Neurospora crassa OR74A: one gene and its partner. The main gene of each other region encodes a partner of the protein of the gene in region 2 in a complex. Links are inferred from orthologs where the notes say so. Each region holds a gene or a part of one and is shown on either strand. Other genes may lie near its edges. The genes, in order: NCU05816 and cox-6.

Region 1 (3,513 bases), on a different chromosome or scaffold from region 2:
TAAAGCATACCTTACCTCTTCAAGACTCCCCTCCTCAATCTCGTTCAACATCCGCGCCCCAACGACCGAAGCGACAGCAGCCCTCTGCATCGCGGATTCGCGGGTTTCTCTTCCTCAAGAACTGTTTTCCGAGTCGCGTCGCATCGTCCAAACCTCAAGTAGTACCCCTCCTTCCACGACACCACAGACAAACAGACAAAATGACGCCGCCGTGTCAAAGCTTCAAAGCAAAGGCTTTGCCCACCCACATACAAGTCGGCCCCGATCAGCGTGTTCGCAAGACGGAAGACGGTGGTCGACGACGAATCGATCTACTTCGGGATTGCGAGCTCTTTGGTCTGTTGCAGTATGACTGCCAGGTGCGCGACCCGGAGTTGAGGGAGAGCCAGATTGAGTGTTGGCCAGTGCAGCGCTTGTTTCGCAGGTATGTCTTTTTTAGGAAGGGGAAATTCCCTTTGTCGCATTTTTAGAAGAAAAGGGGAAAAAGAAAAAGGGAAAAGGAAACGTTGACATTGACATTGACGTGGGGAACCAAACCATCTAGATGCCGGGACAAAAATGGGCCTTTTACGGTCGAGACAACGGCTTGGGAGGGCACCGCGGCTGCGGCTGCGGCAGCAACGACATCATCATCGTCATCGTTAGCAGCAGCAGCAGCAGCAGCCAAAGCGACATCGGCCAGCAACAAAAGCTCATTGGCCGAGCAGGAGCAGCACCAGCAGATCGATCATCGCACATGGGGCAGAGAGGACGACAAGGAGGATAGATGGTGGAACAGAAAGTGATGTTTTTATTCTGATACCCATCTTTTTACAATTTCTTGGTCTTGTGTCCAACGAGGAGGATCCCGTTCTTAATCTCTAGTTGCTTTGCATTGCATCGTCCCGTCGTGTCCCGTCTATGAAATACCCGGCCACCATCTGGCCTTTATAAATGGTCTATCACAAGGCAGAAGAGAAAGTAAGGAATACGTATCGGTCGGGCTGACTCGATTGCCGATGTTTGTCTATCCGTCTTCATCTGTAGATATACAACATGCAAGTCTTCCTTCTTCCTTCTTCTTCTTCCCCCTCCTCAGGTATCGCTCCAAGTATTGCGTTACTTCTTCATCTCCGCGATCGATCGAGGTCGTCTCCGTTCTTCATCATCGGTCGCCCAGTCCGTAGATCGATTTAGGCGCCCATGCGGGCAGCACGCTCCTCCTCGAGCTTCTTGTAGTAGTTGTCACGAGCGTTGGTGCGGGGCATGTGGTAGCCGTACCTGCGGGTGATGGAAGGGGTTAGTCATCGCGGAGTCAAGGCACGGGAGATTTGTTTGCGAGTTCGTCTTCGGTTCGGGTCGCGTGCAAACTAAAGTCAAGGATTCATCGAGGATATGTCGTACCAGTAGCCGTTGGCCATAACGAAGCCGACACCTGAAAGAGTAAGAAAACAAAGGGTCAGCTGATCGGGAACTTGTGATAAAGAAAGGTAAAGAACAACGAAGGAGGTGGCTTCCGGGAAGTCGGTATGGCGGGGTGACAGCACGAGAGACCGTGGGCAATCCTAGGTAACTGGCGCGCGTAGCCAATTCACGGCCCACCGGCCGGCCGAAGCTCGACCTAGCTCTTGCTCTGTCTTCCACATCGCCGTGTCCCGCCTCCCGTCTTCGCCTTATTTCAGAGACCACCTCTTTTATCATTCAGAAATTCCAAACTCACCGAGGGCAATGCCAATGTCGAGGATGAGGCCCCGGCGGAGCATCTGTAAACCCAACAGTCAGCCCCTAGTCCTCCTGTATTCCAGTCCAGCTTGTCCCGAGCGCTGGTGGCATTGCGCAATTCCGTCATCCATCGTCGCGAACAGCCATTGAATCGTCCTCTTTGCGCAGGCTTCGGAAATCACGTACACCGGTGATGGGTCTGACAGCGGTGGCGGCCATTTTGACGAAGAGGGCTGGTTTCGGTTGAGTGGTTGCGAAAAAAAAGGGCGGATCGTAGCGAAGGGTGCGCGGTTTGACGGCTTGGAACTCTCTTCTCTCAAAATGGAGCTTCAAGATTGTCCCGAATGGATGACCTGAGGTTTCGCTGCACGGGAGCTGCAAGCTTCATATCACGTGATGACGCAGCTGCTGAACGGAAGCTTGCGAGCGCCGGCAACTGCGGGTTTTCGGCAAATCTTGGATCACGGACCGTTCCCTTCATACTTGGTGTGATGGGTAAGTTTAATTAAGTGGGGTAGGTACTAAACGCATAGTGTCCGTGCAAAAAAGTACCTGACAGGGGGGTTTTTACTTTCGCTCGCGACCACAGTATGTGGTGGGCTTACGTAAGGCTGGGGAGCGGCAGCACTGCGTTGAACTTATCGATAAGGTGGCAGCCTTTCCAGTCGCGATGACGTCCATCGTTTCTCAACTTTATGGCAAGATGCACATTATTGTGCATGTCTTTCCAATACTACACGCTCTCTCCAGGTCTCAGAACCGTTGGATTATAAGGTTCAACCACAAAGCATCCTTCAAAATTGGTGTCCCTGCGCATCCTTACCTTCCGAGTCCGCTATGGATGATATTCCGACTGTGTACACGCCTGCTCATTTTGAGAGTTGGAGGTCGCTAGTATGGCCAACCATGAACGGGAAATGTATTCCGAAATAGTATCACCATGTGTCGGTGTTCATATCCAGGTTCTTCCAGCTTTCAAAGTCCATTTTCTTTCATCTGGTGTAGAGGCTGAACTCCTGAGACACCTGTACTCTTAAAGTTGCAACTGGCGGTGTTGCTCAGAAACAGATTTTTGTTGTCGATTGGATCGAAGGGATTCGAACCAGAGATCGAGGTGGTCAAACGAAGCGGACACCTACATGTACAGTTTGTTCGTAATCAAGACCGATAGATGAAATTTTTGGCGGACTGCGAGACACCTCAAAGCTGTATCGTCGTCAGGACTGTGGCGGCTTCGTAGTTGTTGTTTGGAGTCACCTGGTGAAACAGTCGTTGTAGACGTTGTCAGTCAAATTTGCAAATTCTCTTTGGTGATATTGTCTCGGGCAGGTGCTTCGAGACTCAAGTGACAGAATGTGAAGGATAGCAGAGCCTGAGAACTCGTAATCCGTCCCCGTCAGCTCGAGTATTTATCGTATTGTGTAGAATCAGGTTGGTTATTTCCCAAGCTCGCCGTTTTCTTCATGGTTATACTGATTATCAGTCCGATGCGTGGCCAGTCCGCCTGATGTTGTGGAGGTGCTTGCAAGACTTATATAAAGAGGACTGCAGGGTGGTATGTACCGTGGCACTTGGTTGTGGTCAGTGCATCACCCCGCAACGCAGTTTCCGGGTCTCTGATTTCTTGCAAGTTCATCCATTTCTTCGTCCTCTCAGAATTTAAAAATGACAACGACTCACAGAACCCATCGTTTTCCATGAGACCCAACGTCGAGCACCGATTTGATCTACGAGGGCATTGATCAAGATGGGGCAAACTGCTTCTCCTGTTTCTTTCTGTAACAGTTAATGTCTTGCCAGGTGCAAGCAGCC
Region 2 (3,993 bases):
CATGAGTCCCAGGACGACGGTCAACCGTAGAGGTGCTGGCAACACGACGGATACGGCGGCAAGTAGTCGGGGTAATAGTCCTGCGCCGGGCAATGCTAGTGATGGAAACGGGAATGGTGGAGGAAATGGGGGCATAAACTTTAACCCCCGGTGGGGGCACCTCCGTGATTAGGGCAAGACGAATAGGAGTTAGAACCGAACCTGGGGGTCGGAGAGCGAGATCGTTGGGTGCTTGAGAGAAGGAAAGAATGGCTCGGCTGTCGGTCGATGACTGCAGCTGTTTTCCTGGTTCGTGACCAAGGACCGAGACAAAGACAACGATTAAGATGGCTTCAGGTCAGCTTTCCTTATGTCCCTGTCAACGGTGGAATGGTTGGTGAAACGATTGTTTGCTTATTGCTTGTTACCTATTGGTCTTTTTCTTCTTCTTCTTTCTCTCCAGCCGGTAGGAATATCTTTTCACAATACCCATCTCCCTATCTTACATCTTACGGTTCATTAGATCGATTGTTTTCATTTTCTTTTGTATGGTTCAAGGTACTCAGGTTGCATTTGAGGATCGAGGGATGCACATGAAAGAGGTTGAGGCACTCGGCGCATTGGGGTTACCTTTTTCTAGATACTTACTCTACCTGCTATGGATAAAGGCAATAGAATCCAGGTAGAACCAGGCATGACAATCGTGAATCTGGTCAATCTCTTATGACGAATGGTAACCAGCATCCAGCTTTTGTAAAATCTATGGTAAACTCATTACTGCCTTTCGAATACATCTATTTTGCTGCTCTCTACGATCATGGCATGGGATATTCATCGTCCAAACACAATCCGTGACACAACCAACTGTTATCGTATCCAACTCGACAAACAGGTTGAACTCGTTCGATTCCTCTCTCTAAGGCCCTCTTGGATATACTACGCCCTTACTTCCTGCAATAGGAGTTCTCTAGGCAAAGAAACATGTATGGTACCAGGGAATTAGCGTTGAGTGCGCTCTCCTATTCATAGGTTCCAAGCACACACGCTACGCTTTCCCCTTCCACAAACTCCCCCTCCTCTCGCCACAATACTCTCATATCCCCTCTTTTCAAACTTCCAAAGATTCTGGGAGAATAATTGATGGGTCGTTGGAATGGTGATTCTCATGGCATCTTCTAAGTTACGTTGGTCCTAAATTTAGTTGGCCTCCTCGGGGTAGAGGTCCTCCTTGAGGGTGATGCCGAGCTCCTCACGAAGAGGCTTGAGCTCAGCGAGGTACTGCTCGTACTGGCCCTTGTTCTCAACCTTGGCCTTGATGCCTGTTATGACGGAAGCCCGTTGTCAGCATGGTTCTGGTTCCTAAAAGACCGTTTTGCTGTTCCCTATCCACCCGAGCTTATCGGACACCTTGGTATTGACGCATAGGCTGGTCGTCGATGGCTACGATGTGTGCGGGTTTCGGTGGCGGCAGTGATGGATGTTAGGACGGGGGCTCTTACCCTCGAAGACGCGGACAGCGGTGGGGAAGTCGTTGACGCGGCGGGCAGCCTTGAGAGCGGCGGCGAGAACGGAGGGGGAAGGGACGAGATCGTAAGCGAAAGCGTTGTTCAGGTTGCGCTAATTTCGGTATGCCAGCGTCAGTCTCACAGTCTCTTCCTTCCCTTGCCCCTACCCAACAAGTTGAATCATTGTTGTCCCTTGATCGATAATGCAAAAGGTGCGTCGTCGAGTAGGCCGTGAGAGTCGAAGTGGGACGGGAGCATGGAAGGTGGTGCATACCTGAAGCTCGAAAACATCCTGAACGGCATCAAACTCCTTCTCGTAGCTGTTGGAAAAGGCGCAAGTTAGGAATTGGGGAGTTCTCGAGGGCGCATGGAGGTGTTGATGGGGTGGCCCTGGCTGAGGCTGAGGGGAGGAGAGTCGGAGGCATCACGTCATAGTGAAGCCGAGCTAGGATAGGCAGGTAGCTAGCTCGGGCCTGGGACCTCCGGGGCTCGGAGAGGTAGCAGCTTCCCGGCCGGGCTGCCGGGGCAAAACTCACCGGGCAGTGAACTCCTCGAAGGTCTCCTCGTGGTGCTCGGAGCGGAAGCGGCTGGAGGTGCTGAAAAGGCTGACGCGGGCGGCGATGGGCTGGGGGCGGGCAACGGCGCGGAAGAGGCCGGCGGAGGGACCGCGGACGGCAGTGCGGAAGAAGGAGGCCATTGTGACGGAAGGACGGAGGGGGCTACTAGAAGATGAGAATTGAGAGCACACGGTAAGAAGCTGGAACTGCGAAGCGAGAAGACCGGGGGGGAAGAAAAGGCAAGGCGGTAATTGGCGGCGGAGACGGAGAAGCACGCACGTTACGTAGAGGGAGGTACGGTAGCTGAGATGATGGTCTCAATTAATGCTAACGAGGTTGAGGTTCGATGGTGTGCGACGTAAATGCTTGTTCAACCCAAGTGGAAGTCTCCGGTATTGCACTGCATCGGACCATTCGAATACTTCGGCTATGTCTTTTCCGGTTAGCTGACTAGCTGTGTTTTTTCCGCCCTCGAGGTACTTCTGGACAAGCCACTCGGTGGTCAGTGCACAAGCTCCCTAAGCTCACCTTTCCAATTCGTACATGAGCTTGGTATGCAATTGAACAGACAACAGCCCACTTTTCCGCACCAGTAGTGGCTGAAGTGGCTGAAACATTTCTTTAACTTCATAATGAGGCTGATGTCGAAGCAACAGAACGTGGGGTACCTATAACGCCTTCCTGCAGCGAGCCGGATAAATCGACTGTGTGCTCAGATGAATCCGCTGTGTGGAGCCCATACAAACTGACAGCCAAGACCCAAAGCTTGGCATCTCTCGCGCCAAACTTTCGCGATCGCAAGTCATCACCAAAATATCATTGTCTCGACAACGACAACGAAAGCTCAAAACGACTTTTTCTAAAGCGTTGAACTCTCATTTATATGCGGGGGCCTCTCACCGGCCCCCTGCACCCCCGGAACTAACCCTAACACCTAACCCTAACCACTAACCCTAACACTAACCTTGGGGGTAGCCCGCGAATTGCTATACAGTCGATTTATCCATCCAACACAGTCGATTTATCCGATCCGTCCTGCAGCGATGATGCAACCAGTGCGTGTTGCTCATGTCGGTCTTTCACACAATGAAGTGGTGTCTGTTGTTGCGGACATTCACTTCAACTCATCATCGTGTTGACCTTGATATCCCTCACTTTTTTTCTTAGACAATTCCCAGGATTGGGAACATTTGAACCGGCAAGCGCTGGAGATTTACGGATCAACCTATTTATCATCGGAAGAAATTGACTGCCAACCGAATGTTTTGACCGGCACATGGTCTCGTCATCTCAGGATTCACGGCTTGTACACTCGTGTATTTGTGGGTGGATGAATGATGGGCTGATCGAAAGCCAGTATGTAGTTCGGAGAGAGTAGAAAACGCGTCTTGTAGTATTGGTGGGTTGGGGTTGTTGAACAGGCGAGAGCCGCGAAACCTCAAAAAAATGGACTCGATTGAATCATTGAACAAACCGAATTTGTATACCCGCTGGTCAATGTCTTACCGTAGCACTGGGCCACCCCAGGTTGTGAGCTCAATCGCTGGAGGGCAAGCCATTCACCTTCTCTTATACGCACCGTTGGTTCGGGCTCGCCTGGGTGTTTGAACGTCCTCGTATCAATTTCCACGATATCTCTTCCTGATAACCAAGTTGTGAACGTCCTGCACTAGCTACTTCCCCAAACCTCGGCATGGACTCTACACTACTCGTTTGATCAAGAGTTAGCCCGTTGCGGCCCGACAGTTGACGCTCTGCATGATGAACGAGGTATCCGATGTAGGGGGTTGTAGCTATTTGGTGGACCTTGAACGGCCTAGAAGACTGCCCCCAAGTCTCGAGTCAATCATCGATCTCATCCGTGTTTCAACGGGCATGTTGATTTTTGGTAGGACCGACCCTTTTCGATGGAGCCCGCGTTGAGTCGCACCGGAACACTCACGAGATACGAT

Evidence for each region.
Region 1: the proteins of cox-6 (region 2) and NCU05816 are in contact, whole or in part, in a cryo-EM structure (PDB 7Z10), measured with the Saccharomyces cerevisiae proteins. The link is inferred for Neurospora crassa OR74A from reciprocal best matches to the Saccharomyces cerevisiae genes COX6 and COX9. Residues at the interface, in NP_011918.1 of Saccharomyces cerevisiae: Phe49, Asp80, Leu81, Val82, Pro85, Glu116, Gln120, Ala123, Tyr124, Glu127; in NP_010216.1 of Saccharomyces cerevisiae: Thr2, Ile3, Pro5, Ile6, Thr7, Gly8, Thr9, Ile10, Lys11.

The regions. Positions count from the first base shown.
Region 1 is NC_026507.1:3,922,587-3,926,099, reverse strand, and holds NCU05816 (hypothetical protein), read right to left. Parts: upstream 2,162-3,513; 5' UTR 1,921-2,161; coding exon 1,888-1,920; intron 1,743-1,887; coding exon 1,700-1,742; intron 1,415-1,699; coding exon 1,384-1,414; intron 1,261-1,383; coding exon 1,173-1,260; 3' UTR 804-1,172; downstream 1-803. Other genes in the region: NCU05817 (hypothetical protein), read right to left, coding at 16-90; NCU17277 (hypothetical protein), read left to right, coding at 201-424, 545-785. UniProt on the Saccharomyces cerevisiae protein: Component of the cytochrome c oxidase, the last enzyme in the mitochondrial electron transport chain which drives oxidative phosphorylation.
Region 2 is NC_026505.1:4,304,017-4,308,009, reverse strand, and holds cox-6 (cytochrome c oxidase polypeptide VI, variant), read right to left. Parts: upstream 2,458-3,993; 5' UTR 2,321-2,457; exon of another isoform or gene 2,207-2,320; 5' UTR 2,182-2,206; coding exon 2,021-2,181; intron 1,805-2,020; coding exon 1,759-1,804; intron 1,597-1,758; coding exon 1,479-1,596; intron 1,299-1,478; coding exon 1,177-1,298; 3' UTR 733-1,176; downstream 1-732. Other genes in the region: NCU06696 (hypothetical protein), read left to right, coding at 1-172. UniProt on the Saccharomyces cerevisiae protein: Component of the cytochrome c oxidase, the last enzyme in the mitochondrial electron transport chain which drives oxidative phosphorylation.